Macaca fascicularis: one gene and its partners. The protein of the gene in region 4 interacts with the protein of the main gene of each other region in a pairwise test. Links are inferred from orthologs where the notes say so. Each region holds a gene or a part of one and is shown on either strand. Other genes may lie near its edges.

Region 1 (4,089 bases), on a different chromosome or scaffold from region 4:
AGAGCCCCACATCTGAGGAGCCCTCCCCATCCTCCTCCCTAGAGAGAAGAGGGTGGCTCGAGTGGAGGGGCTCCCCGGAACCTGACACGTGTCCCCCGGCATAGGCAGATGGAGGAGACAGCCTTGGACTTACCAGTAGAGACAGAACCGTAAGCTCATCTTGCATGGGAAAATCCAGGCATAGCCCTTACCACAGCATCCCTTCCTGCGAGGAGACAGGGTCCGAGCCCCCACTGCCTTTTGCCCTGGGTCTCCCGTTTGCTCCCAAACTCCTCACTCTCCTTTGGCCACCGCCCAGAGGGCCACCGAGGGCCGCAGTTCCCTAGCCAGTCCCGGCGTCTGGCCACCTCCTTAACTGGCCAACCCCGTCTACCCTAAGTTTGCTGGATGTGGTGGCGGTTGTGGGAGGGGAGCCGAGCAGTGGGGACAGGAGGAGCCCGGGAAGGGGACAGAGGAAGCCCCAGCGCTGCCCCCACGAGGCCGTGGTTGGTCTGGCCTGTCCTCACCTGTCTCTCAGGACTTGCCAGTTTATCTTGGGCTCTGCCAGCTCCATGAGCCTCCTCCGCCGCCTCTTCCTCCTTGCTTTGGCCATGATGGTGCTGGGGAACTTCTGGCTGATGGACAGCCGGCTTTGGGAGAATTCCATGTTGAAGTTGGAGCTGCTTTCTCGCCCCGACGCGTTTGGGGGCCCAGAGAAGCGTAGGTCTTGCTCGAGCGCCCTGCCCACCCGCCTCTCCTTTCCTGAGAAGGGTCTCTGGGGGAGGACTTTGGCACCACGAAGGCCTGGACCAAACCGCAGCTCCACTGCTGGCTGGATGGAAGACCCTGGCCAGGGCACCCGGCTCCCCAGGCCCTCAGCCGCCTCCTCTGTGAACTGGACATGAGACCAGCTCCCACCTGGTGGGGCTGTTTCAGTGAGTTCTAAGATAATGTTTGCGCATCTCACAAACATTTATCAAGTACCTACTGTATGCCAGGCCCCAGAGGGGCCACCAGCCTCTAAAGAGAGCAGCGCCTGCCTCCCAGAAAGCTCACAGACCGCGGGAGGGACACAGGCAGCAGGCGAAGATGCCAAACGTCAGGACGTCTGCCCTGTCGCAGCTCTTGGCTCCCGTGTCCTCCCCGGGAGCCCCTCACACTACTGCCGTTTTCTCTGCAGGCTAGCACGGCCCCGTGAGGACAGGGCCGCTGCTTTGTTCTTGGGCAGCACGGAGACCACGGTGAGAAGGGAGCACCTGGGTGTGGGCGTGGGCCGGGACCACACTGCAGGGAGGGCGGGAGCCAAGTTCCAGAGGTAGGTAGAGTGCGCGCCTTGCTGCGGACACTCGGGCAACTTGCCCAGAATCACTGCCCCCAGTGCCGATTCGCTGAAGCGTTCGTTCACCCTGAACGTGTTCCTCCCGACCATTTAAAACGTTTTAGCCACCTGTGGTGCTTAGAATTGTTTCAGCTTTTGAGTTGGGAGGCTTTTTTTTCCCATTTCTTTTTCTCGCTGTCTGACTTGAGGTCATCACTTGTTAAACTGTGAACTCTGGGCACCTGAACTCAGTCTGCCTGACTCCAAACTCAGCGCTGTTTACTCCACCTCCTGCCACTGGCTAGGGGAGCGTGTGCTGGTGTTTGCCTCAGGGCCCAGTGAGGGGTGCTGGCCGCCAGCTGACCAGGCCCACACCTAGGCTGACTCGGCAGCCTGGGCCCCTCGGCGAGCCAGGCCAGCGGCCGGGAACAACGCTTTCGCACGCCCAGGGGGCTGCTGCCCTACCCCACCGCGCCCGGGCAGGGCCGCTCCGCGGTGCCCACCTGATTTCAGGAATGTCCTCCTCTAAGTCCTTGTCCAGAACTCTCTCCAACTCAGAAAGAGCCTCTTTGGGATCCAGGGTCTCCGAGAACTCCTCCCCGGCCACCTCCTCGGGGGGAAGCTCCTCTTCTGGGTCCTCCGGTCCCAGCTCCGCATTGTCCGGGTCCTGGTGTTCGGGGTCTGTGACCCGCCGGCTCTCGTACACAGAGCTCTGGAGGCCACGGGGGTCACCGCTGAGCTCCCTTTCCAACCTGCCTGCAGCCTCAGAGCTGGGCTGGTTCCCGAGTGACCTTCGCCTGCTGTCCCCCATGTACAGGTCCCTTCCCAGCCCCCGCGGCCTCACTCCCTCAGCACCCAAATGTGTCTGTGGTGGCCGCGGCAACAGGAGAGTGTCCCCCACATTCTCCACAGTCCACATTCTAACCCCTGCGCTGTCTACAATGCCGGTCACCTGGGCTTGCGCTGGCATCAGGACTCAGTCCTGGCAGTCGTGGCTCACAGGGACCTCCCAGGACTGGTTTAGGAAGGAGGCCTGAGGGGACCCTGCAGGGGTTATCTAGATATGGCTTCCCTCTCTTAAAAGGAGACACAAGGAAAAGACCGCGTTTCCCGTTCCTGTCACTGCTGGGCCCGTCTGTAATGTCCAGAGCCCAGGCAGCCGCCTTGTGACCATGAGGCCTGCCAGCCTGAGGGCAGATGGACTGAAAAGCGGGTCTTTGATGCCCTTGTCGAGCCTCTGAACTTAGCAGCTCTGGAATCCACCCTGTGTCCAGGCTTCTCGTTACTTGAAACAATAAGTGTCCTCAGTACTAAGTGGTTTTGGCGAAGTTTCCAATCCGCAGCAGCTAGAACTGCACCCTCAGGGACACAGACCCTTCCGGCTCCAACCTCTCCTGAGAAATAACTTCAAACTAGGCTGTTCGATTCTCACAACAAAATCATGGTTATAACTGGAGTATTCCCCAGGCTGCAGCCTTCCGGACCTCCTTGCAGCTCGTCAAAGGAGCTGAATTTCCCGCCTCTGCCACACCGTGCCCCACACAGCCTATCCCCCTCCGTGCCCCCCTAGCCTTTCCCCCTCTGTGCTGTGCCCCCACCCAGCCTTTCCCTCTCCGTGCCCCCCTAGCCTTTCCCCCTCTGTGCTGTGCCCCCACCCAGCCTTTCCCTCTCCGTGCCCCCCTAGCCTTTCCCCCTCCGTGCCCCACCCAGCCTTTCCCCCTCCGTGCCCCCCTAGCCTTTCCCCCTCTGTGCTGTGCCCCCACCCAGTCTTTCCCTCTCCGTGCTGTGCCCCCACCCAGCCTTTCCCCCTCCGTGCTGTGCCCCCACCCAGCCTTTCCCTCTCCGTGCCCCCCTAGCCTTTCCCCCTCTGTGCTGTGCCCCCACCCAGCCTTTCCCCCTCCGTGCCCCCACCCAGCCTTTCCCCCTCCGTGCTGTGCCCCCACCCAGCCTTTCCCTCTCCGTGCTGTGCCCCATCCAGCCTTTCCCCTGTGCCTCTGCCCAGCACTTCCCCCTTCTGTGCTTGGTGGTTTTCTACTCATCATTGAAGACTCAAGCCTGTCGGTCCCCCATGCAGGGAGAGTCCCTGACCATCCCTCCCCTTTCTGGGCTCCCAGGCCTAAGACCCCCACCCCCACCCAGTGCTAGCCCACCCCAGAGTCCTGCTGTGTCCCTCACCCCTGCCACCAGTGTGGGGCCAGCCGTCCGGGCATGTGACCACTTGGCACACAAGAGACCCAGTTCATCAACACACGCAAAGCCCTCTCCAGCTCCCCGTCCCATCTCCCGGATGCGCTGCTCCCAGACGCAGCCGCGCCATCACCGCTGTCGGGAAAGGGGTCTCTCGGAGGACTCCAGGCAGAAAGGTCCCTGGGAGGGTCTGGTCCCATCCAGGAGGCCGTGGGAAAACCCCCCTTCTTGGCCTGAAGTTTCCTAAACCCTCACCTTGCACTCAGTGACTTATTTTTCTCTTTTTTTTTTTTTTTTGAGACAGAGTCTGGCTCTGTGGCCCAGGCTGGAGTGCAGTGGCGCGATCTCAGCTCACTGCAAGCTCCGCCTCCCGGGTTCACGCCATTCTCCCGCCTCAGCCTCCGGAGTAGCTGGAACTACAGGCGCCGCCACACCCGGCTAGTTTTTTGTATTTTTAGTAGAGACGGGGTTTCACCGTGTTAGCCAGGATGGTCTCGATCTCCTGACCTCGTGATCCGCCCGTCTCGGCCTCCCAAAGTGCTGGGATGACAGGCCTGAGCCACCGCGCCCGGCTATTTTTCTCTCAAGTTAAACCTGACCAAGAT
Region 2 (4,274 bases), on a different chromosome or scaffold from region 4:
TTTGAATCACCATGTTTCCTGGTAGAGGTGATAATGATAACCTTTTAGTAAACATTTAGAAAAAGATAAATCTTTTAGCAAACATTTTTTTTTAGGCCAAGCACTACCTTAAACTCTTTATGTATCATTACCAAATATTCAAACCCTTTGTAGTCAGCTCCCAAGGGACTGTACAGATTTTTTGAATCTTACTAGTATTTTGTCATATATAATTGCTCCAATAAATGGGCTACTGACTGAAGTCAGGAGATGAAGTAGTACTTGTACTGAAACATGATACAATCAAAGATTTAGGATTCTTTCTAAAGACAGTGCAGGTAAAAAGCCTACCCACTACTGAAGGCAACGGAAGGGTATTAGGCGTCTGTGTGCTGTGAGAGAGCCTCCACTTCCGAGTCACAGATGGCCACAAGCCATTCAGTAGGGCAGGGGATCTTAGAAGTCCTTTACTTCTACTTGAATGTCTATGGTGATAAGAACCCACCATACAGAGACCCTACTTACGTCACTGGATTCTCCAGAGTGTCTGTCTAAAGCCTGACAGGTGCTGCCAGTTCCTATCCATTTCTCCCTTATTCCTTGCCCTCAAATCTAAAATATAGTAACATAAGGATAAGCTAAATAATATAAAAATTATAAAGCCAGGAAATGATGAAAGCAGGTATAATGATGAAGTTCAAGATGGGATGGCCACTGTTAGCACACGTGCCCAAAGTGACAAGCTCAGTAAAAATGAATGACATGTTCACTGAAGCATCAAGTGTGGATTAGAGGGCTGTTTCTAGTGAGAATATGGTTACTTAGCATGAGTAATTCCAGGTACTTTAGTAATCCAAGTCCCCATCCTAGGATCTAAGAGTTCTGATTGTAGAGGCACAGATCCCTGTGACTCACTGGATTATAGAAACAAGAGATGGTCCCCAGTTCAAGGATTCAGTTTTCATATCTTAAATAAAACTCCAATGTCAAAAACGTATGAAAAACTTATCTTCTCATATTTAGACCAAAGACTTTGTAATTGCTAATCGACATTAAGTAAGATTAAGTTAGATTCAGCCAAATGAAGAAACAGACTAGAAGACAAGGTTCTCCGTTTATTGGGCTAAACAGGGCAGTATATTATGGCTTATACCTCACTTCTTAGATCTGCTTCTAGAATAAGGAATTTATTAACAGTGATCACCACATCAGCAGAGTTTTTGCAGAAATGAAGGGCTAACTCTTTTAGTAAACATTTTCTTAAGTTTTAATCTGACATAAAAAGTTGAAGACGTAATCTAAAAAATACAAGGTTTGAGGAATAGTGGTTCTTCCTAGAGATTATAAAGAGCCACAACACAAATGATAGTGAAAAACGGGTTTCAATTTCCATTGAAAATATTCTAAGATACACAGGTTTGAGAATTATGTTTTTCTAATTGTAACATTTTGAATTTCATTTCAATGAAATCTGCTGTCCTAAGACAAGTATGAGAAATTAATCCTAGGTCTCCACACCTTAAGATACACTGTGTAAGGCTGGGCACAGTGGCTCATGCTTAATGCCAGCACATTAGGAGGCAGAGGCAGGAGGATCACCTGAGGTCAGGAGTTCGACACCAGCCTGGCCAACATGGTGAAACCCCATCTCTACTAAAAATACAAAAATTAGCCAGGCGTGGTGGTGCATGCCCGTAGTCTCAGCTACTCGGGAGGCTGAGGCAGGAGAATCCCTTGAACCTGAGAGGCGAAGGTTGCAGTGGGCCGAGATTGCGCCATTGCACTCCAGCCTGGGTGACAGAGCAAGACAAAAAAAAAAAAAGATACACTGTGTAATAATCACTGACCCATTATTCCTTGTGGTGTTACGAGGTCGGACCAATCCTTGATATCCTCAAATTTCACCTTAATGAGGCTGACACCTTTCAGCTTATCGACTGGCAGCTCCTTTAGGTATTCTAGACGGCTAAAGAAGAACATTTTTGGCACAGCTCCAGCCTTGAGAGCGTCTGTAATGAGCCTGCGACCTTCCAGCAGGATCTTCCCTTGTTTTTCCCGAAACGGCCTGGACTTTACTATTGTCATTACACTGCTGTAGATGGAAATAAAAAAACAGGTAACTATCAACATCCTTGTTACTAAGACACGCTTAGTTGTAACAGAAATAAAGAGCCAAGGAGAGGGCCGGGCGCGGTGGCTCACGCCTGTCATTCCAGCACTTTGGGAGGCCGAGGCGGGCGGATCACCTGAGGTCAGGAGTTCGAGACCAGGCTGACCAACATGGTGAAACAAAAACAACAACAAAGAGCTGAGGGGAAACAGAAGCTAATTCCAAAGACACTATTCGGCCCTCTGTGCATAATACAAAAGCCAGCGGGCTGTACTGGAAGAAGTCCTCCATCCGGAGAAGGAGGTTAAGGCTCCGCTGTGAGGCGGGAAGGGAAACGAGAACATTCGACAGGCTTCAAGACCCACATCACCTCAGCCTCCTGTCCCCGGGATAAGCTTTATCGTAGCGAAGCCCAGACTCTTCCCAGGTGCTGGGAGCGTGGGATGTGGACTCCTCAAGCGGTGATTTCTCTCGTTGCTCCTGGGCACTGGCCTCAGATGCTGCCTTGCGTGGCTGCTTCCCGGGAGCGCGCTTCCGTTCCACCACCTCTCCGGAAGGAAACACCACTTTCACTGCGCTCCGCCGCAGCGCCCGGACCCAGCGCCTCGCGTCAAGGTCCCAAGCCTGCACCACCTGCAGCAGCGGCCGCACGACAAACCTCGAGCGTCTCACCAGCGCCGCCATCTTCTCTGAGACCCGGGCTGCGTCACCAAGGCGCGCCGTCGGCGGCCAGTGACGTCACGGCCCGGGGCGCCCGTCGTGGGCGGGGCGGTACCGTGCGCGTGACGGCTGCGTGCGCGGGAGTCATGGCTGCTCGCAGAGCTCTGCACTTCGTGTTCAAAGTGGGAAACCGCTTCCAGACGGCGCGTTTCTATCGGGACGTCCTGGGGATGAAGGTGCAGGCCGGGTTCGACTGGGGCTGGCGCGCGAGGCGGGAACGGGCCCCCGAGCCGGCCCTGGCGGAGGGAGGGGAAGATGGGTGTGTCGTGAACCTCAGCCGGAGGGTGCCCGACCTTGGGCCCTGCGCGGAGTTCAGCTTCGGGAGCGGCGAGTTGCCGGTGGGGATCATAGGCCTTGGAGAGGGGCCTAACGCGATTAGTCCCCGCGGTGTGCCCAGCACGTCCTTTCGTTTAAGTCACTCGTAGATGTTTACTGAGCTCCGCCCTTGTGGAGCTTACTGTCTACCGGAAAAGACGGTAAATACACAAAATGACATATAATGCTTTCCAGTTAATATTTGTCTTTTCCGGTTTGGAGCCTTTGATGTAGTTAAAACCAGCATATTCAGAGTTCTGCTTCTGTCAGGGCTGGTCGGAATGGCTCCACTCGGGTACTCAGTCTCTCTGAATATGGGCTCCAATTCTCAACCCATCTCCTTTTCAGCAGCACCCACAAGCAGTCTCTCCCCGGTCCTGAGAAGCTGTTACTGCAGGACTTGGTTGGGGAACGGGGTTTGGGGGACCTCCTTCGATAAGCCGGGGAGGTAGGGAGCACACCAGTAAGGAAGACTTGAAAGGTGCAAGAGCGCGGTTTAGTGTGGAGGCGGTGCGGTAGACGGGGGTCTGAATTCGTCAGATCATTTTTAAAATATCTGCTATTTTGCCGGGCGCAGTGGCTCACGCCTGTAATCCCAGCACTTTGGGAGGCTGAGGCGGGTGGATCACGAGGTCAGGGGATTGAGACCATCCTGGCTAACACGGTGAAACCCCGTCTCTACTAAAAATACAAAACATTAGCCAGGCGCGGTGGTGGGTGCCTGTAGTTCCATCTACTTGGGAGGCTGAGGCAGGAGAATGGTGTAAACCCGGGAGGCGGAGCTTGCAGTGAGCCGAGATCGTGCCACTGCACTCCAGCCTGGGTGACAGAGCGAGACTCCGTCTCAAAAAAAAAAAAAAAAAATCTGCTATTTTTAGGGTACTACATTGAGTTTTGGCAGCAAAGGTTCAAATGACCCTGATGGATAATCCTCCATTAGAGCTCATGGCCTGGATTGGGGTGGGAGTTGGAACTGGATTTGTACGTAGGTGATGGTAATGGAAGTCAGAATTTGATAGTGAAAAACCACAAAACTTTCGATAGCAGAAACCACAGAGCTGTCCCTTGTTAGTATTTCTTCGTTGATCAAAAGCTTGCTGTAAAGACTAAACATGTGCCGGGCGCGGTGCCTCACACCTGTAATCCCAGC
Region 3 (4,227 bases), on a different chromosome or scaffold from region 4:
TTTCTTCCCTCCTCTACCAATCCTTCTGCAAGTCATTTTAACCTTAGCTTCAGAATATCCTGAATTCTCAACTTCATTCAACATGATCACTCTAGCCACGCCACTCTCATCTGGACTACAGGTAACAGTTTCTTCGCCAATCTCCCTGCTTCCTCTTGCTCCTGTTCCCCTCAAACCCCAATCCATTCACCAAAGCCAGGGAGATTTTTTAGAAAGACAATGTAGATCATGTCATGCCCCAGCTTAAATACCTTCAAGTACTTAGAATTAGCCCAGACTTCTTTATGTGGCCTGGCCTCTGCCATTCTCTTAGACTTCATCTGCTTTAGGCTAACTGGCTTTCTTTTTTTCTTCCCCTCTTCCTGGAATTTACTGAATTTATTTCCATCTTATCGCCTTAGCATTGGTGGATTCTTCTTTTGAAATCTGCTAACTGGTTCCTTCAGATCTTAGTTTAAATGGGGTTTCCTATGGGAGAAAGTATTACTAATCTAAAGTGGTCATCTCAGCCAGGCTCGGTGGCTCACGCCTATAATCCCAGCACTTTGGGAGGCCAGGCCGGGTGGATCACTTGAGGCCAGGCGTTCGAGACTAGCCTGGGCAACATAGCAAAACCCCGTCTCTCCCCAAAACACAAAATTAGCCAGTCTCATAACCCTGTCTCAAAATAAATAAATAAATAAAAATTAAAAATGCTGTATTGTCTTTAAAAAATAAAGTGGTCATCTTTTATCACACCATCTTCTATAGCACTTAACGCTATCTGATATCTCCTTGTTGTATGTTTGTTTCCCCCTTCATAAGAGCAGACACATTGTCTTTCATGTCCATGTTCTGACCCCAAAGCTGGAGCAATGCCTGAAACACATAGTATATGTTCAGTATTTGTTGAAAAATGAATGTTTGAGGATCATGAGGATGAAGAAGAAACCTCAGACTACTTGATCATAAATTCTAGCAATTTCCGCAAGAACAAGAATTGCAGTTTGAAATCAGATGCTGGAGGACTGGAAACCTTGATAGGTCTGGGGCTGAAGGCTGGGGAAGCAGAGGGAATATATTGGAACTTCGGCCCTTTTCTTCGTATCTAAGGACCTCAGAGACCATGCAAAGGGCTAGAATCTTATGGCCAGAAACCACACAACGGGTATTTTCCATCCATAATTCTTCGCAGCCACTTCAGCTAGGCTGCAAATGCGCAAACGCCTTTAGGACCCCGGGTTCCTTTCTGTTTCTTTATGAATGAACCGGCTCCAGTCTGCGCACGCGCAGCTCCCAGTACTCCCGCTCCACGTGAGGCCCACCCTTCCCTCCTGCTGGCGGCACCGCCCTTACCCATTCTAATGGACCAATGGCGAGCGGCCTGAGGGGCGGAGCCCGGCGCGGCGCGGCACAGTAGTTCCCCCGGCGCCGGGCTCCCTCGCGTTAGACGTGCTGTGTTGTGATCACGTGGGCAGCTCCGGGCGCGGCGCTTGTTTTGGTTTCCCTCTAAGTTGCCCGCGGCAGCTTCTGGGTGAGCGACTTTCCTGCACCTGCCCACACCCTGACCTCGTCTTCGGGCTCTCTCAGCCCGCAGTTCCGCAAGCCCCTGGGGCGGGCTCCTGCCATGCCGCTGGTCCGTTACAGGAAGGTGGTCATCCTCGGATACCGCTCTGTAGGTGAGTCTCCGCCCTGCAGAACTCGGACGCGCAGCAGCTTTGTGGCCAGAAGAGGCGCGCTGCCGTGGGAACGCGACCCAGGGAGGAATGGTGACATCGTAAGAATGGGGTTGTAGAGCGAGGATTGGAAGAGTGGAGGAATAAAGGTTGGTGGTGTGTGGAGGCTGCAGGAACCGCAAGCACTTAAGGCTCAATGAAGACCTGGCTGCGGTAATCTCAGAGTGGTCCCAGCGTTACTTTGGGGATAGGGGTGGGGTCACAATTTGAAAACCGGGATGCGGTCTCCGTGGGGACAGATAGTCGCAGGTGTCCTGGGGCGGGGCGGACTCGATCCTGGGGAATCTTGGATATTCCTGCGGGTAGGATGGGGTGGGGAAGGCGGCGGGAAAGGCTTCCTGCTGCGCTTCTGAATGCATCCGGTAGCCAAAGTGCGGAGACCCCGGGCGAAAAGACGGTGAGGGTAGACACAAGGGATAGGATTGCTTGAGGCACTCACAGACTGTGGTGTTAATTTGGGGTACCCTTTGGTCCTGGGCCACAGTCCGAAAGGACAGAGGATGTGAATGTGGATGGATGATTTGGATACAGCTGCCACACTGCTCCCCACAGGGAAGACATCTTTGGCACATCAATTTGTGGAAGGCGAGTTCTCGGAAGGCTACGATCCTACAGTGGAGAATAGTGAGTAGACTTCTCCCCTAGTGTGCTGGTGACGCGACCCGGAGGGATTGGATAGCCCACCCAACTCCATAATGTATTTCTCTGGTGCCAAGGGGCTGATTTATTTACACATTACATCTAATTTCTTCTTCAGCAATCCTGTTCGATGGATGGCTAGAGTATGGATTTTGCAGGATACTGAGTCTGGGATAGTTTAAATGTAGACATTAAGAACCTTAGTGTGGGCCGGGCGCGGTGGCTCAAGCCTGTAATCCCAGCACTTTGGGAGGCCGAGACGGGTGGATCACGAGGTCAGGAGATCGAGACTATCCTGGCTAACACGGTGAAACCCCGTCTCTACTAAAAAATACAAAAAACTAGCCGGGCGAGGTGGCGGGCGCCTGTAGTCCCAGCTACTCGGGAGGCTGAGGCAGGAGAATGGCGTGAACCCGGGAGGCGGAGCTTGCAGTGAGCTGAGATCCGGCCACTGCACTCCAGCCTGGGCGACAGAGCGAGACTCCGTCTCAAAAAAAAAAAAAAAAAAACCTTAGTGTGTCTTTCCAGTTACCTGGATAACTCCCTGGAGCTGATCTATCTGTGTCAACCCCAAGGTTAAGAATGTAAGGGGAGGCCAGGCGCAGTGGCTCACGCCTGTAATCCCAGCACTTTGGGAAGCTGAGGCGGGCGGATCGATTGAGGTCAGGATTTTGAGACCAGCCTGGCCAACATGGTGAAACCTCATCGCTACTAAAAATACCAAAATTAGCTGAACATGGTGGCACACACCTGTAATCCGAGCTACTAAGGAGGCTGAGGTAGGAGAATCGCTTGAACGCAGCAGGCAAATGTTGCAGTGAGCAAAGATTGTGACACTGCACACCAGCCTGGGTGTCAGGATGAGGCTGTCTCAAAAAAAAAAAAAAAAAAAAAAAAAGCCAGGCACCATGGCTCACGCCTGTAATCCCAGCTCATTGGGAGGCCAAGGCAGGTGGATCACCTGAGATCAAGAGTTCGAAACCAGCCTGGCCAACTGGTGAAACCCTGTATCTACTAAAAATACAAACAATTAGCTGGACATGGTGATGGATATCTGTAATCCCATCCACTCGGGTGGCTGAGGCAGGAGAATTGCTTGAACCCAGGAGGCGGAGGTTGCAGTGAGCTGAGATGGCGCCACTGTGCTCTAGCCTGGGCAACAAGAGCGAAACAACATCTCAAAAAAAAAAAAAAAAAAAAAAAAAGAGAATAAAAAGAATGTAAGCAGGGGGAAGGGAGTGGGAGGGATGAAGATAAATTGATCAATAGGTACAGATATATAGTTTGATAGAAGTAAGACTTAGTAGTATCAGTAGGGTGACTATAGCTTACAATAAGCTATTTTACATTTCAAAATAGCTATAAGAGAAGAATTCAAATGGTTCTAGCATAAAGAAAACACAAATATATAAGGTGATGAATATTGCAGATATACTTACAAATTATATGAATGTATTATCACGTGTACCCTGAAACTTGGTGCATCTATTATTCATCAATAAAACAAAAGTAATTATTTTTCTTTTCTTTTTGAGACAGGGTCTCACTCTGTCATCCAGGCTGGAGTGCAGTGCCGCAATCTCAGCTCACTGCAACCTCCACCTCCTGGGTTCAAGCAATTCTCATGCTTCAGCCTCCTGAGTAGCTGGGACTACAGGCATGTACCACCATGCCCAGCTAATGTTTTGTATTTTTAGTAGAGACAGGGTTTAACCATGTTGGCCAGGCTGGTCTCGAACTCTTGGTCTTAAGTGATCCGCCCACCTTGGCCTCCCAAAGTGCTGGGATTACAGGTGTCAGCCACTGAGCCCAACCAACAATCTACTTTAAAAAAAAGCTGCCAAAAAAAAAAAAAAAAAAAAAGAAGGTAAGA
Region 4 (3,202 bases):
CTTGCCTTTTTTGGCAAAAAACGTGCGGTCGCGAGCGGATCCCGGGCCGCCCTCGTTAATCCTTGGGAAGAGGGGGAAGGGGGCTGAGAGGGTCTAGGCCCAGACTGGGGATCGGAACCGGGTCCTTGCTCTGCGGGCTTTGGGAAGGGCTGTTGGCGGAGGGGACTATTGGTACCAGCCAATTAAGGCACCCCATCGCCACCCTCGCTTTCGTCTGGAACCTCCCCCAAACCCCTCCCTTCCCTGCATGGAGGAAAAAGCCCTCTGCCAGCAGGGAGGCAGGCCGAGCTCCAGAGGGACGGTAGCCGTGGCGGGGATCCCCTTCATGGGGAGAGACTTCCCACCCCGTGGCCCGGCCCCCCTCCACCCCGCCCTGCAAGGACGAGGTCTAGAAGAGATTCTGAGCCTCCCAGTCTGCAAAAACCCTTCCTTCCCCTTTATACCCTGCGCGCGCACGCGCGCACACACACACACACAGAGGCACACACGGAGGCCCCTGCTTCCTCACACCGCTTTATTGCAGAATCTGGAAGGGGGGTGAGCCAATCTCACCCCTCTGCCCATCTATGGGCAAAATGGAGCTGAAATAAAATGAGAAGACACTCGGTGGCCACCAGCTGGGCAGCACCCTGTACCCTAGGGCCCCCTCATCGGTGGGCCCCTGATCGCTGTCCCCACAGCCTCAGCCCCGGGGGGATGGGGTGGGGCAGGTCAAGCTTGAGAACAGTCCACTTTTGAGGACTTCTCAGGCACCCATAGGAGACCTAAAACCTATAAAGAGAAGTCTAGATTTAAGGGGGCCTAAGTCCCAGAGCCCAGGTTTGGAGGGCTGGGGTCTAGAGCCCTGATTTGGGGAGAGGACTCAGTCTGGGAACCCAGACTGCAGGGGAGAGGGTGAGTTCTGGAGTCCAGGTGTGGGGAGGCAGCTTGACTCATGGAGGCTCTATAAGAGCCCAGGTTTGGGGGCCTGGGTCAGGGAGTACCAGTTTGGGGATGCTGGCGTGGAGAAACAATCCTGGAGCCCAGAGGGCGACCCATTTTTTTTGGTTGGGGGGTGGGGCTAAGTCCCAGAGGTGGTTTAGAAAAGGAGCTACAGTCCTGGGCCCGTGGTATGGGAAAGCCTGGGTCCAGGAGCCTGGCTCAGGGCCCTGCCTGGCTACAGCCCTGGCAGAGCACTTGGTCTCCATCCGGCACGAAGCCTTGGCCCACCAGGGAGGTAGAGCAGCGGGCGCAGGAGAAGCAGTTGTGGTGCCAGTGTCGGTCTTCAAAGGACACATACTTGCCTCCACCGAGTCCTGGAGGGAGGCTGGAAGTTAGCTCTGCAGATCTAGGGATGGTCCGGCCCTCAACTTCACCCAATACCACATCCCATTCCCTTGCCTGCACCCTACCCACTCCGTTCTTTGACCCTTGTCCCACCTACGATGGGGCGCTTGCAGCTGCTGCACTTAGGTGCAAAGAGTTCTCCAAAACAGGCCACACAGTAGGGATCTTCATCCCGGGAGGTGAACTGCTGCCCTGCCAGGGGCGTCTGGCAGCCGGTACAGACCAGACATTCTCGATGCCAGGGCTGATCACGGTATGTCACTCCACCCTGTGTCAGCGTCTGTGGGGGCAGCATTCATTAGTAGGTATGAGTGGGGATTCCCACCCCACGACAGGCCTTACTCACCCCCACCTGGCTGGCCCAGCCCCCACCTTGCTGCAGCGGGCGCAGCGAGGAGCAAACTTGTTCTCATAGCAGGGCACGCAGTAGTGAGCACCCTTGTCGGGCACAAAGGAACGGGAGCCCAGCGGCTGCTCACAGCCACTGCACAGGAAGCAGTGCTCATGCCATGTCTGGCCTCCGTACTCCAGCTTCCGGGACCCTGTGGGGAACAGGGGTCCCATTTAGAGGCTGTGTCCCATGCTCCTGAGGGCCACCCTCTGTAACTTCCCCGGGAGTCTCCACTCCTCTCGCAGCCTGAGCAGGGTGGTGTCCAGTGCACATGCAGCAAGAACCCCCCTGCCCCATGTACATTACACATGCTAACCTCTCCCCAGACACCGGACATGATGACCCAGCTAGACACGAGGATTTTGGCATATGTTAAGCCCCCATATGTCCCAGAAATGACAATTTCAGCACATATCGAGCCTCCATGTAACAGTCATGAAGTCTCACTATGAGCTAAGCCCTCATATAACAGATGTGATGATTTCAGCACTCACACGGGACCCCACATGTACCAGGCAAGTAAGTATATGCCCTAATGCCCTCGGCATGACAGGTTCAGTACATGCTAAGCCCTCGCATCTCCTTGGCACACCATTCTCCATAGGTACTGAGTCCCAACATTTCTATTAGGCATGCAGGTCCCCACACATGTTAAGCCCTCTGTTTACCTGCCTCTGCACACACTAAGACCCAATGCAATAAGCACGACAGTCTCAGCACACCTCTAGTTCCTACATGTACTAAACATGCAGATACTCACACATGCTAAGCCCCCAAGTATGTATCACATGTGTCAATCTGCCTGCACATAGTAACCCCCAGTATACCAGGCAAACAGATCCTGCATATACTAAATTTCCAGAAACATGCTGTGTGTGCAGGTCTTTACACAGACCAAGTCTCCATGTATCAGACAGACACATGCAAAGACCCTACGCAGATGCCAGGCATGCCAGTTCTTACACAAGATGAGCCCCTGAGGACATACCAGGCATGACAGTTTCCCCACAGGCGGAGCACTGCGAGGAAAACGCACTGCAGTAGCAGTCATTGCAGAGCAGCTCACTGTCCTGGCAGGTGAAGGGTTCATCGGCTAGTGAGCGCTGGCAGCGGCAGCAGCGGAAGCAGCCCTCGTGGAAATGGCGGTCTTCATAGAACAGCTCCTGTGGCGAACACAGCGGGGGCACTGGCACCCAGGCCTGGTGGATCCATCCTTTGCCCCCTTCCACTGGTCACCACCCACCTCCTGCCTGGCCTGGCCCTCTCCTTACCCTCGAGTCATGCCCGATAAGCTGCTGGCACTCGGCGCAGGTGTTGGCAAAGGTATTGTCATAGCAGGGCACACAGTAGGGGCCGCTGTCTGTCTGGATGTACTTGCGTCCATACAGGGACTCGCTGCATTTTGCACAGTCAAATGACTCGCTCATCGTGGCAAGGAGAGAGAACCCTGTTAGGAGCACAAGGTGGAACTGGGGTCACACAGAG
Region 5 (4,001 bases), on a different chromosome or scaffold from region 4:
TAAATATAATTTACTATTAGATCAGGTAATCATTAGTTACTAGACTTTATCAACACAATTTTGTACCTTTCCAGTTATATATGTCTAACCTGTAGGTTGAATGTGGAGATGAAACACAGAAAGCAGGGAACCTACATTAGTGCAAATGACACTGTTTTAGTCTAGACTTGGGATTTAATATCTGCTCTCCTAACTTCCTACTCAGGTTCATATTTAGGGGAAGAATTACAAAATTACCAATATGTTGACTGCAAATATTTTTCAAACAGAATTTGGCCTGGAAAATAGAAATTTATTGACTTGTTTTAATTCCATAAAATCTCCTCACCGAAATATAAGACATCAGAAAAATATATAACTTTAAAAAATGAAAATAATCTTCTTAGATGAAATAGATGATAGATAGATAGATAGGTGATTATACAGAGATGAGACAGAAATGGAGTATGTGTGAACACAATTCAATAGCCCCTTTAGTGAAAAAAATTTCCACAGATTGCCACTATAATACAGCATATCAATATTCTTTCCTGATGAAACAAGCCAGGGATACAGAGTTAAGCCTCTATTAGGAAACAGAGAGGCTCAACAGATCCATTATGGATTTTATTTTCCAGCTTGATTATCCTGAGCTCTTGGGAGTGCTACCATGACCAACGCTGCATGAGTGCAGTTCTTGTCTTTCCCTTTTAATAATCTGGACACATTCTGATTTCTAGATTGTTTCACAGAGTATTTTACAGTCCCACTTTGCATTTTAAATGGAAAAATCCATGGATAATTATGCATCTTTCTCTTTAAGACATGTGAATGACCGCTTTAAGGACTTTGTTCTCTCTGACTTTTAGTGGTATGCAAACTATGTCCTTATTTTCTTTTGAAAAGATGCCAGCATATTGAGCAGGATGGAAACAACAAACATATTGGATTTAAAAATGTAAGTATTTTCAGCTATTTTTTCAGAAATCTTACTAATCCTTATTTTTTTATTTTAGTGATGTTAGTCCATTATTTAATTAGATTCTCCTCAAATGGCATAGGCTGTGTCAGGCATTTATTTTTACCCCTGATTACAAGTGAAAAAAATTGATGAAGTAACTTGCCCAAGGTCGTTCGATTTGGTATTTGATGGAGCTGCGGTGAGAATATGGGAGATCGTCATGAGAATCCTCATGATCTCCTTGTTATTTATTTTCAATGTGATTTTGTCACTTCAGACATAAGCATGTTTTCCAGTTGGGACTCTAAAGCACATGAATCAGCTTTCACCATTTATTCAGTTACCTAAATCTTTTTTTTTTGAAACAGAGTCTCTCTCTATCACCAAAATCTTAAAACTCTCAATGGGGATTTGGATAAAAAGGGAATTCCTCAGTAGGAGCATTGCATACTCTTAGTGCACACTCACGCTCCATTTTTTAAATCGTGTCTTGTCACCTATTCGTCTGTCATAAAAAATTTCCTAAGGGGAAAATTCCCATCTATGTGCTTAAGAACTTGAAGACCATAAAGAACATAAAAATAGGCCATATAGAAACAACCAAAGGTTATCAATTCTGCAGACAGTAGACATGAAAAATCATTCCAGGCAAGATTTGCTAGGTACCAAAAGAGAATGTGAGGCTTTCTGAATGAGGCATCCAATAAGGGAAACTTATTTGTGTTATTGATCCAGAAGGTGAAGGAAAGGGAAAACAATATACATATGCATATATATATATATAAAATAAACATATATTTTTCTAAGTGAAGATGTCTGTTTAATTATCATTGTGGTCATGATAAAACATTTTACATGGCTTATAAAATATTCCAGGATAATTTATAGCCACTTCAGGCTCAGAGCTTCCAATCATAATGGGAAAGAATTCTGTTAGTTCTGCAGATGACCATGAAGAATGTGGGGTTGGGAAAAGGGTGACTCATCCACTCCAATGTACTGTAATAAATCAATTCTGTTTAGGGTGGTTTCAAAATTCATGTTAGAATTAACTCACTCTTAAAGTGCTGCTTTCAAAACCACAAAGCCCGGTGCATAAAACTATACTGGAGAGAATGATTTAAATTTAGAATTTAACTGAAATGCGATTGCTATCATTTATCACATTAGTATCTATATAATTTTAATGGTCTGTCAAAGCTAGGTATAAATATTGAAAGCATTACAAACTGAGCTGAAACAAAATGATTTATCCTTCTCATATGGAATGGTGAAAAGCCCTTTGTACAGTTTATACTCCCATTCTAATGCACCCAGAATACTTTCAATTGACATTCAATCCTCTTTGAAAGATTTGAGTTTTCAAAGATAGCCTAAATTCCTCTACATTTCAGTAATTTAGAAACTTTCTGAGATCATGGAGACAGTCAGATAAATCTATTAATAATGCTCCTTGGTCCAGATACACACATCTCATGCTGGGTTTTATGTTTACCTGCATAGTATCTTCCATACCAGTTTTCTTGTAAAGGTGGCAGCTGCCCTTCCAAGGCTTTATTCTGGTCCTGCAGTCTTGCCAGTGAATGTGAAGTCTTTTCTTCCAAATTCTGATTGAATGCAAAGTCCACAGGGCCAGCTGAGGGAGTCTCTACCTCTTTGTTTTGCAAAGGTGCTACTTTGATCACCCTCGGGTGAGTCTTAGAGTGACTCAGGCCCATTTCATGTGAAAGACATTCAGAGGAAAGCTGCGAGGAAAGTGGTTTTGGGGTCTTTAATATAGCTTGTTTTAATCAAGGCATTTCAGAAGTTTACCCTGGCTTTACAAAGCAGTCATTTCCTTCATGGCATCCTTCTAGCTCTGTTTCACTGCACACTAACCCTTTTGGCCACTTCCTGGGAGGCTGGTTTCCATGGAGACTTCCCTTCAACTTTGCCATTTCAGACCCAAAGAATCCAGTTAAACATTGACTTGGTTATGCTGCTTTCTGAAATACTCAGTGATAGGAATAGAAGCCACTATTGATCATTAAACAAATATCTAACACCAGGAAGATTATTAACACAGAGAGAGATGTAGAGCAGAGGTTTAGAGAAGTCTTAAACTTGACGCTTTCACTGCAAGCACCTTTGTAAAAAAACTAACAGCTGAGAATAGCTAAGCCATCTTTGCAACTAAGAGGATGCATGCTAATTACCAAGGCGTTGTTAATCTTTAATTTAATTGAAGAATTTATCCTCCAAGTAGGAAAGAAAGCAGCGGAGTGGCTAAAGCGTCATTTGATTTTTCTGTTGATGACTTGAGTTGCCTTTGAAGGGGATGAATACATTGCAGGACAGGAGGATAATAGAAACTTTTTTCCTGGGGATGAGGGGAAAAACTTCTTAAACATAAAAAGATAGCCTATTTACTATGTTTTTAAATTTAATTAAATTCATTTATTTATTTTTGAGACAGAGTCTCACTCTGTCACCCAAGCTGGAGTGCAGTGGTATGATCTTGGCTCACCACAACCTCTGCCTCTCCAGTTCAAGTGATTCTCCTGAGTCAGCCACCCAAGTAGCTGGGATTATGGGCACCTACTACCACCACACCCATCTAATTTTTGTATTTTTAATAGAGAAGGGGTTTCACCATGTTGGCCAAGTTGGTCTCAAACTCCTGATCTCAAGTGATCCACCTGTGTTGGCCTCCCAAAGTGTTGGGATTACATGCATGAGCCACAGTGCCCGGCCTATTATGATTTTTAAAGTAGAAAAAAGACTAGAAGGAAATATGCTGAAATATTGAGTAGTGATTTTTGAATGGTGGGATTATGGGTGATTTTTATTTTATTCTTTATACTTAGAAGTGGGACTAACTTTCAAGCTCTAATTGTTCATGACCACAGATTACTTGTGTGTTCATCACATCTCCATAGAGAAATTAAAAGAAAATGTATTTTTCATCTTTGCAGAATCCATTTCCTAAGGGACTAAGGTGGTGTTTGGAAAGTCTTGGTAGACAATCACATTTATCTAAAAAGATGCCTGAATTTAGTTTTTTCCTTATTCTCTTTGCATT
Region 6 (3,957 bases), on a different chromosome or scaffold from region 4:
CACAAACTCCTGACCTCAGGTGATCTGCCCGCCTAGGCCTCCCAAAGTGCTGGGATTACAGGTGTGAGCCGCCGCACCCAGCCCTTCAGTGCACTTTTTAAGGCAAAGCATTTATCTCCTGTTCTCACATGGGAGGTAAACAGCTTCTCCGGCATCCACCCTTGGTCACGAAACTGGGAAAGAGACTCCAGATGGAGCAGGTGGATAAGAAGCAGGAAAACCTCCTTGGAAACTTGTCAAGAGTACCTCATGCCTCCTATCCCACTGCCTGCTCACATCAGTGACCTGAAGGCTCCTACCATTTACAATAGGAACATTTTTTCATGGCCTTTTATAAAACCTAAAACATCTGGACCCATGTTAGTGAGTTTGCTGGGTTTTTTGTTTGTTTGTTTTGGTGACAGGGTCTGGCTCTGTCATCCAGGGTGGAGTGCAATGGCACGATCATGGCTCACTGCTGCCTCAACCTCCTGGGTTCAAGCAATCCTCCTACCTCAGCCTCCTGAATAGCTGGGACTACAGGTGCATGCCACCCCACCCAGCTAATTATTTTATTTTATTTTTGTAGGGATGGGGTCTTACTACGTTGCCCTGGCTAGTTTTGAACTCCTAGCCTCAAGTGATCCTCTCACCTCAGCCTCCCAAAGTGCTGGGATTACAGGCGTGAGCCACCGCGCCCAGCTGTGTCTGGTCGTTGTCACAGAAATACCTGATCCCCAGGGAAAACTCAGGGTCGTTTGACTATGGGAGAGTGCTCCAGCATTTTCAGGTAAGTAATCTTCTCACCAGAGCTCAGTCACTCACACAACACAACTAAATAAGCACTCAGCAGACCTTTTCAATGATGAATGCTTTGACAAAGAAAAAACACCCACAACATTCTCACCCCAAAATGGCTGGCCCAGTGTCCCAGGTGTGCAGGAGACACCGCACTAGCCCCTCTGTCCATTCACCTGGACCTTCATGGGGTTTGGTGTGAGGATGTTCTAGGAGGGCCATCCTGGAGTCCGAGGTCAACTTCAAAAAGGGTTTGGCTTCCCCAATGGCCCACAGGCTCCTGTGCCCACAATACACCTTGCCCACCCACAAGCTGTGCTGTCAGCCAGTACTGCCCTCTTAAGGTCACACGTTAACATCTCATAAAGTGTAATTCCAGAAAAAAAGTAGCCCTTCATTTATTTGCCTCAGAACTGAGCACTGTAAGTTGCAGGAGATGGTTGCGTGTGTGTGTGTGACTGCTGTGCGTGTGCTTGGGGGTGTGGGGACAGGGTGATGCCAGCAAGTCTATATCCTCCTCTTTTAAAACACTCCACTCCCGAATTCATTCACTCATTTAGTTCCATCCTACCCTCTCCCAAAATGATTTGGGGAACCTCCCTCCTCCCCATTTGTGATGTTGGAACTTTGGCCTCTTCTCTGGGTGCACCCCTCCCCGTCTCATTGTTGACTTATTGAGAACCCCAGGTTTTTAGCCTCTTCTTTGAGGCTGCCCACCCCCTGCCCCCCCATGCCCGGTCTTGCATCCCACTTACGGGCATCTCGTGCACGGTGGGGGCTCTGCTCCCATAAGCCTGGTTACTGGTCGTGTACACCGAGATAGCCTTCTGGGTCCTGGTAGATGAGAAACACTCTCTTTTCGTTCATTTAATCTAATTCTGCACAAGCCACAGCCTTGCATTTGGTTGACAGCACTCCACTGGAAATGCCCCCAAAGAAAGAGCAATGTGCCTGGGCTGGTGATGCAGCCTCAAAGGCGGCCTCTGGGAGTACCTGGCTGATGACCGTTCTGAATGGCCCGGCCTCCCCTGCCCCCTCTGCTCACCACGGTCCCTGCTCTTCCAAGGCAGGCCAAGCCCTAAAGAGCAGGCAGCCAGCAAGTGCTGACCCCCAGCCCTGGCAGGACCTTGGCACATGCTGCAATTTCTGGGTAACTTAGCCTGTCAGGAGCGGAGGCTTGGCCTCCAGACTCTGCCACCCAGAGGGTCCCTCTGCCTTTAGCCCCCACCCTCGCTGAGGTGATGCTTCTCTCGGTACCACTGCCCCTACCTGTCAGTAGGACAGGCTACTGAGAGGCTGCAGGCCCACACCTTAGCTCTACTTTATACTCCTAGATCTTGGCCAAGTTGTTCTTTCTACATTCCAGTCGTCTCAATGGGAGAACGAGGATACTAACAGACCCTGCCCTAGAGGACTGTTGAGGGACCACATGTGTGAGCACGGCAAGATGCTTGCACCTGCCTACAGGAATTTTTTTACTGCTTCTTAGCCTGCAATGCCCTGTGGCAGCTCACAGCTGGCTGAGTAGACTTGCTGCAGGTGCTGCTGTGCTCACGCCCCGCAGCAGGGTTTCAGGGTAGAGAGGCGAGGAGACTCACCCGACACAAAACAGTGGAGCTGAGACCACAACTGGGTTTTCTCCCCCCTACGGCCCTGCCCCTCACTGACCCTATTCCCACTTCCTTGTATGAGGCTCTGGGGAGCACTTTCGTTGCTCACTAGTGGGCGATGACAGCGCGGGCCCCAGATGACCCCTCGATCCTCTTGATTTCTGCAGCTAGGACCTTGGGGGTCTTGCGGGGTCTCTCACACACGGGGCTATCGAGCAGTGGACGCCAGGACCAGGCGCGCCCCAGCTTCCTCACCTGTAGCCCCGGAACCACCCTGGGTTGTTGAACCTGCCCGGCAGGTCCGCGCTTACGCGGTAGTAGTCGCTGGTCCTCTCAGGCGGGGCCGTGGCCTTGGGCTCCACAGGCTCCGCGCACGCTCTGGGGCTTTCCTCCGCCATTGCGCCTCGAAAAGCAGGACTCGGCGGCGTCCTGTTGCCAAGCGACGGCCAGGTCACGTGACTGGGCGGAGCGGAGGGGCCTTAAAGGCGCCGCGCGTGGGCGGTGCTCCTCCGCGGGCGGGTCGGGAACCTGCCGAGCGAGTCCCCAATGACTGGGAAGGTCGGGACGGCGAGAGATTCCCTGCTGGGACCGTTGTATGGGGCAGCCCCTGGCCCCCAGCCACCCGCGAGGGGACCGGGTCACCCCAGCATGAGGGTGTGGACTCCCGGGCGAAAGGAACCCCAGGGCCTGGGACCCCGCCAGCCGGGTGATGGGGTTTAAGCACTGCAGGTCCACTCGGCAGACAACGATTGGACGCTTGCTGTCCAATGTACTCCAGGGATGATATGCCCCTCAGCACCCCGAGTCTAAATTGAGACCCGAGATCTTGCTAACTTTATGAAATTCTCCTAAGTCAAATATCGTTTAAAGATTAAAAACATGGCCGGGCGCGGTGGCTCAAGCCTGTAATCCCAGCACTTTGGGAGGCCGAGACGGGCGGATCACGAGGTCAGGAGATCGAGACCATCCTGGCTAACACGGTGAAACCCCGTCTCTACTAAAAAAAATACAAAAAAACTAGCCGGGCGAGGTGGCGGGCGCCTGTAGTCCCAGCTACTCGGGAGGCTGAGGCAGGAGAATGGCGTGAACCCGGGAGGCGGAGCTTGCAGTGAGCTGAGATCCGGCCACTGCACTCCAGCCTGGGCGACAGAGCGAGACTCTGTCTCAAAAAAAAAAACAAAAAATAAATAAAAAATAATAAATAAATAAATAAATAAATATTAAAAACAGTTTTGGAGCGCGAGAGGCTGCGCGGGACGTGGTTCACAGCTCACGTGGCGGGAGGCGAGGGTCCCCATCGCCCAGCGGGCTCCCCCAAAGGTCAGGGGCCTCCCGGGCTGGTGGGGCCCATTAGCGAGGCGGGGCGAGCTGCAAGGCGAGGACGGTGGCCCCACTCCCGGCCCGAGACTCTCAAGCCCGGGACCCCGGGCCCTGCCCCCTCGTCTGCCCCGCCCCCGCAGGGAGGTCCCAGCCGCCCGCGGACGGCGCTGTGGCTCCTCCGGGCCTGTAGGTGGCACTGCGGCCCCGCGCGGACGGCGGCGGGAGGGGAGGCCGCTCGGCCCGGCTCGGA
Region 7 (3,951 bases), on a different chromosome or scaffold from region 4:
TATTGGAAGAAGAATTGTCTTAGGCCACACATACTAACACTAATGATAGCTGATGAGCTAAAACAGTTACAAAAAAGGCTCATAATGTTTTAAGAATGTATATGAATTTGTGGTGGGCCACATTCAAAGCCGTTCTGGGCTGCATGCAGCCCACAGGCAACAGGTTGGATAAGCTTGCCTTACTTATATACGGTTCACTATGTGTTGGGCACTCTTCTGGGAACTTATAGGTATTTATTTATTTAATCCTCACAATACCCTATGACATGCATGCTATTATTATTCCAATTGTATAGATAAGGCAACTGAGGCACAGAGAGGTTAACTAACTTAAGATCAATCAACTAGCAAGTGGCTGAGACGTGATTTGAACCCAGGTAGTCTGGCCCTAGAATCTTTACCCGGCATCATATTTCAAGAGTCCAAACCCTTGAACCCCTGCCCTCCCATGTCTTCTTCTCCTCGGGATGAGCCTGCAGTCAGAGTGTACCCCAAGTTTTCCTGAATGGGCAAAGGCTAGCACAGGAATTTGGACCTCACCTGATGGAAGGTGGTTCCATCCAACCGGACCCCATCTCGGAACCACAGCAATTCAGGGGTAGGGCGGGCATCCCCACGGCTCCGACATGTCAGGTTCACAGGAACTCCAGCAATGAGAGACACAGAGGGGCCGCCCAGCACCTGGGGAGCTTCTGGGGGGACTGCAAGGTGGATTTGGGGTCAGAGATGGATCCGGATCCTCTCAGCTCCAATTGACCACTCCCCTGGGCTCCCTGGACTCCGCTACTCACAGCTAGTACTGGTTGCCCCCTTGGGCTCCCAGGGGACAAGTGGGCGAGGTCCTTACCCAGCACGTGCAGTTGGGCTGGTCTCGAGCGGAGGCCTGCTTGTGTAGCCTGACATTCATATGATGCTTCATCCTCTAGCTCCACGGGCCTAATGTGGAGGTCATGCTGGCCATTGGCTGCATTCCCTGATATCCAGTACCGGGACCACCCTGGAGTCAGGGAGGAGGCAGCACGCCATGGTTCTGACTGGTCCACACATTTGGTGGTAAGACACTATTAAAGAGTGGGTACTGTGCCCATAGAGACTCTAACTCCCTCCCAACCCAGAGTCACTGCAAACTTGGGGGTAATAAATTCAGAAAGGAAAGCAAGAAAATGATTGCCATAAAAGTTAGGTTAGATACTACTTCTGGAGTGAGGGGGAGGGGGGCTATGATAGGGGAAAGGAATACGGGGGCTTCTGGGGAGCTAGCAGTGGACTTGGGTATTGGCTGTGTGAGTGTCTATATTATTTGGTAAACCTTCCGTTTATGTTTACTGTACTTTTTTGCATTTATGTTCTCTTTCTTTCTTTTCCTTTTTTTTTTTTTTTTTTTTTTTTTTGAGACACGGTCTCACCATTACCTGGAGTGCAGTGGCTTGATCATGGCTCACTGCAGCCTTGAACTCCTGGGCTCAAGGCTATCCTTGAGCAATCCTACCACCTCAGCCTACTGAGTAACTGGGACTACAGATGCACATCACCATGCCTGGCTAATTTGTTTAAAATATATATATTTTTTCTAGAGATAAGGTCTTGTTATGTTGCCCAGGCTGGTCTCAAACTCCTGGTTTCAAGCTATCCTCTGGCCTCAGCCTCCCAAAGCGTTGGGATTACAGGCGTGAGCCACCGCACCTGGCCTGTTTACTATTTCACAATAACATAATAATTCCAAAACTCTATGGGTCACCCCCAAAGAAGCAGCTCAAAAATCAGGACTCCTAAATGTTTACCCAAGTCCATCAATTTCCCAAACTTAAAATGTCAAAATAGAAACTGCAGGTACAGCCGAGCCCAGCAACTCTACCCCTAGCCAGCCCGTCCCAGCGTGGAGAGAACCGTCTTACCTGGCAGGTCCCTTTGGCCCCCTAGGGCCAGCCCACTCTTAGTCCACTGAACTAGCCCCCAGTAGGCGCCCAGAGCACACTGCAGCCGGGCTTCCTCCCCCAGCAGCACCACCAGGTCCTCTGGCTGTTGCAGGAAATGGGGCGACGGGCCTAGGAAAGTTGGGGGCAGCAGGGCTGAGCTTAGCACCTTCAAGAGCCCCCTCATTCAGGACCCAGGGGTCCCAGCCCCCAACTCCCTTCTCTCTAGTGAAGGGGCAGCCTGCAAGCAATCCCCCCACACCCACCCCATATTCATCCGCTCCCCTCGTGCGGTACCTGCGCTCCCTCTGAAGCAGAAGAGCAGAACGAGGAGGGCGGGGACCCGCATCTTGAGCGTGTGTCCCCCAAGGTTCACGAGATCTGCCGTCGCACGGGCCTCCCGGTCAACTTCTTCCTCGGAAGCCCTCCTCCTGTCACTCTGGCCCGGAGCCCCCGTCGCGCTTGACTCTTCTCCCCAGCCTAGAGAACCCCTGTCTCTGGCCTGGAGTCCTCCAAGTGAGCTCATCCGCAGCCTCTGACGCTCTGAAACGCCTGCCAGTTCCGCGCCCTGGGTCTCTGGGAGACCCCTAGAGGGCCCGATCCAGCTCGCCCCGCCCGGGTCCGCCTCCCAGGAGCTCCGCCCTCTTCCCATTGAGAAACTCCCGCCGCTGGACGCAGATGAATGGGGGATGCAGGGCGGGGTCCCCCGGCGGGTGGGCGCCCCCAGCTCAATTGGGGTCTGGGAGCCGGAACACCTGGGTTCGAGGAGGGAGTCCCGGCTGGGTTGGACACCTGCGCCCTGTCGAGGTTGAGGGGCACGCATGGGGGTGAAGAGGAGGGAAGGGAAAGAGTGGAAGAAACTTGCTCAGCCCAGGTCCTGGAGGGACTGCGCTCAGTGGAAACCGAGCTATAAATGGGGGCCCCTGGGGCCTCACCAGTTTCCGCGCCCTGGGGGAGGCGGGGTCCGGGGCTCCCCTGGCTTGCGGGTCGGGAATAGGGCACGCCGATACCTGGGGGACAGTTGGGACCCCTGTCTTGACTCCCCCAGCCTCAAAACCCCTCCTCAAAGTGGGGAACAGAGGGCTGTTCCCTTGTTACTGCTGCAAACGTCCTAAGACCGAGGAATCCAGGACCCCGGCCCCTCCTTTCCCAGGACCCCGCAGTCCCGGCCCAGCCCCTCTCCCCACTCGGCCGGCCTGGCCCCTCCGCCTGGTTGCCGGGCGACGGCTGGGAGGCGGCGGTGCCGGGCCGGGGCAAGCAGGGAGGCTGGGAACCGCGCAGCTTGTCCTGACGGCTCCATGCAGCCCAGCTGGGGCGTTCCCACGCTGCGCAGCTGGCCGAGCAGGTGGGAGGGACCTCGAGCAGCCTGAAGGAGGGCTGGGGGGCTGGGACCCTGATCTGACATTCCTGGATCTGTAAGAACTGGGGGGTCCACATTCAGATTCTACGCTGTTCTTAGGCTCAGACTCTGTGTCCCTAAATGGCAGGGTGGGGTTGGGAGTAGGGGTTGGACTTACAGGATTGTAAGGGACTGGTGGTTCAGGCCTTTGCTGGCTGAGACGCTGATGGCCTGATCTCCTGGTTCCTTGAGAGGCTGGAGACTCAACTCCTAGGTCTCCTGCCTGCAGCATGGTGCACTTGGAAGAGGGTGACAGAGGTCAGAATATCTGGTCTTAAGTCTTAGAGTCGGTGGATTTAACTGCCAATCTCTCCCCACCCCCACATGGGCCCAGGAGGATTTGGAAATCAGACGGTGAACATCTGTCCTAAGTCCTGTGTGTGTGTGTGTGTGTCTGTGTGTGTGTGTGTGTGTGTGTGTGTGTATGCGGCCGGTGCGGGGGGTGGGAGGGATGCAGGGATGGGTAGGGTGGCCAGGAGGATCAGAGGCCCAAATTCCTGAGTCCTTGGAGAGAAGGGACTGAGACCCCAGGGTCTGAGAGGGGAGGGATCTGGGGGCCTACACTCCTGGCTTCTATGTGGCATATCTAGTGCCTGGATTTTGAAATACGATGGCATGAGGCCGGAACTCCTGAGTCTT

Evidence for each region.
Region 1: the proteins of FHL3 (region 4) and SPMAP2 interact in binary tests that used the Homo sapiens proteins (3 or more experiments, as listed by UniProt). The two-hybrid records come from large-scale screens. The link is inferred for Macaca fascicularis from reciprocal best matches to the Homo sapiens genes FHL3 and SPMAP2.
Region 2: the proteins of FHL3 (region 4) and MRM3 interact in binary tests that used the Homo sapiens proteins (3 or more experiments, as listed by UniProt). The two-hybrid records come from large-scale screens. The link is inferred for Macaca fascicularis from reciprocal best matches to the Homo sapiens genes FHL3 and MRM3.
Region 3: the proteins of FHL3 (region 4) and RHEBL1 interact in binary tests that used the Homo sapiens proteins (3 or more experiments, as listed by UniProt). The two-hybrid records come from large-scale screens. The link is inferred for Macaca fascicularis from reciprocal best matches to the Homo sapiens genes FHL3 and RHEBL1.
Region 5: the proteins of FHL3 (region 4) and CCDC198 interact in binary tests that used the Homo sapiens proteins (3 or more experiments, as listed by UniProt). The two-hybrid records come from large-scale screens. The link is inferred for Macaca fascicularis from reciprocal best matches to the Homo sapiens genes FHL3 and CCDC198.
Region 6: the proteins of FHL3 (region 4) and PIERCE1 interact in binary tests that used the Homo sapiens proteins (3 or more experiments, as listed by UniProt). The two-hybrid records come from large-scale screens. The link is inferred for Macaca fascicularis from reciprocal best matches to the Homo sapiens genes FHL3 and PIERCE1.
Region 7: the proteins of FHL3 (region 4) and KIRREL2 interact in binary tests that used the Homo sapiens proteins (3 or more experiments, as listed by UniProt). The two-hybrid records come from large-scale screens. The link is inferred for Macaca fascicularis from reciprocal best matches to the Homo sapiens genes FHL3 and KIRREL2.

Annotation. Positions count from the first base shown.
Region 1 is NC_088393.1:936,302-940,390, forward strand, and holds the start of SPMAP2 (sperm microtubule associated protein 2), read right to left. Parts: upstream 2,801-4,089; 5' UTR 2,268-2,800; coding exon 1,801-2,267; intron 1,295-1,800; exon of another isoform or gene 1,214-1,294; intron 630-1,213; coding exon 507-629; intron 206-506; coding exon 134-205; exon of another isoform or gene 43-133; intron 1-42. UniProt on the Homo sapiens protein: May be involved (but not essential) in spermatogenesis.
Region 2 is NC_088390.1:895,048-899,321, reverse strand, and holds the start of MRM3 (rRNA methyltransferase 3, mitochondrial), read right to left. Parts: upstream 2,801-4,274; 5' UTR 2,774-2,800; coding exon 2,460-2,773; intron 2,072-2,459; coding exon 1,827-2,071; intron 1-1,826. UniProt on the Homo sapiens protein: S-adenosyl-L-methionine-dependent 2'-O-ribose methyltransferase that catalyzes the formation of 2'-O-methylguanosine at position 1370 (Gm1370) in the 16S mitochondrial large subunit ribosomal RNA (mtLSU rRNA), a conserved modification in the peptidyl transferase domain of the mtLSU rRNA.
Region 3 is NC_088385.1:55,885,050-55,889,276, reverse strand, and holds the start of RHEBL1 (GTPase RhebL1), read left to right. Parts: upstream 1-1,427; 5' UTR 1,428-1,606; coding exon 1,607-1,658; intron 1,659-1,705; exon of another isoform or gene 1,706-1,804; intron 1,805-2,199; coding exon 2,200-2,339; intron 2,340-4,227.
Region 4 is NC_088375.1:196,916,442-196,919,643, reverse strand, and holds the end of FHL3 (four and a half LIM domains protein 3), read right to left. Parts: intron 3,165-3,202; 5' UTR 3,145-3,164; coding exon 2,989-3,144; intron 2,881-2,988; coding exon 2,706-2,880; intron 1,869-2,705; coding exon 1,699-1,868; intron 1,607-1,698; coding exon 1,420-1,606; intron 1,296-1,419; coding exon 1,141-1,295; 3' UTR 501-1,140; downstream 1-500. UniProt on the Homo sapiens protein: Recruited by SOX15 to FOXK1 promoters where it acts as a transcriptional coactivator of FOXK1.
Region 5 is NC_088381.1:125,322,274-125,326,274, forward strand, and holds the start of CCDC198 (factor associated with metabolism and energy), read right to left. Parts: upstream 2,801-4,001; 5' UTR 2,659-2,800; coding exon 2,436-2,658; intron 1-2,435. UniProt on the Homo sapiens protein: May be involved in tuning the metabolism, energy expenditure, and excretion processes.
Region 6 is NC_088389.1:3,874,236-3,878,192, reverse strand, and holds the start of PIERCE1 (piercer of microtubule wall 1 protein), read right to left. Parts: upstream 2,801-3,957; 5' UTR 2,786-2,800; coding exon 2,643-2,785; intron 1,612-2,642; coding exon 1,533-1,611; intron 1,152-1,532; exon of another isoform or gene 569-1,151; intron 1-568. UniProt on the Homo sapiens protein: Microtubule inner protein involved in the attachment of outer dynein arms (ODAs) to dynein-decorated doublet microtubules (DMTs) in cilia axoneme, which is required for motile cilia beating.
Region 7 is NC_088393.1:43,085,595-43,089,545, reverse strand, and holds the start of KIRREL2 (kin of IRRE-like protein 2), read right to left. Parts: upstream 2,801-3,951; 5' UTR 2,737-2,800; coding exon 2,211-2,736; intron 2,046-2,210; coding exon 1,896-2,045; intron 998-1,895; coding exon 848-997; intron 702-847; coding exon 541-701; intron 1-540. UniProt on the Homo sapiens protein: May regulate basal insulin secretion.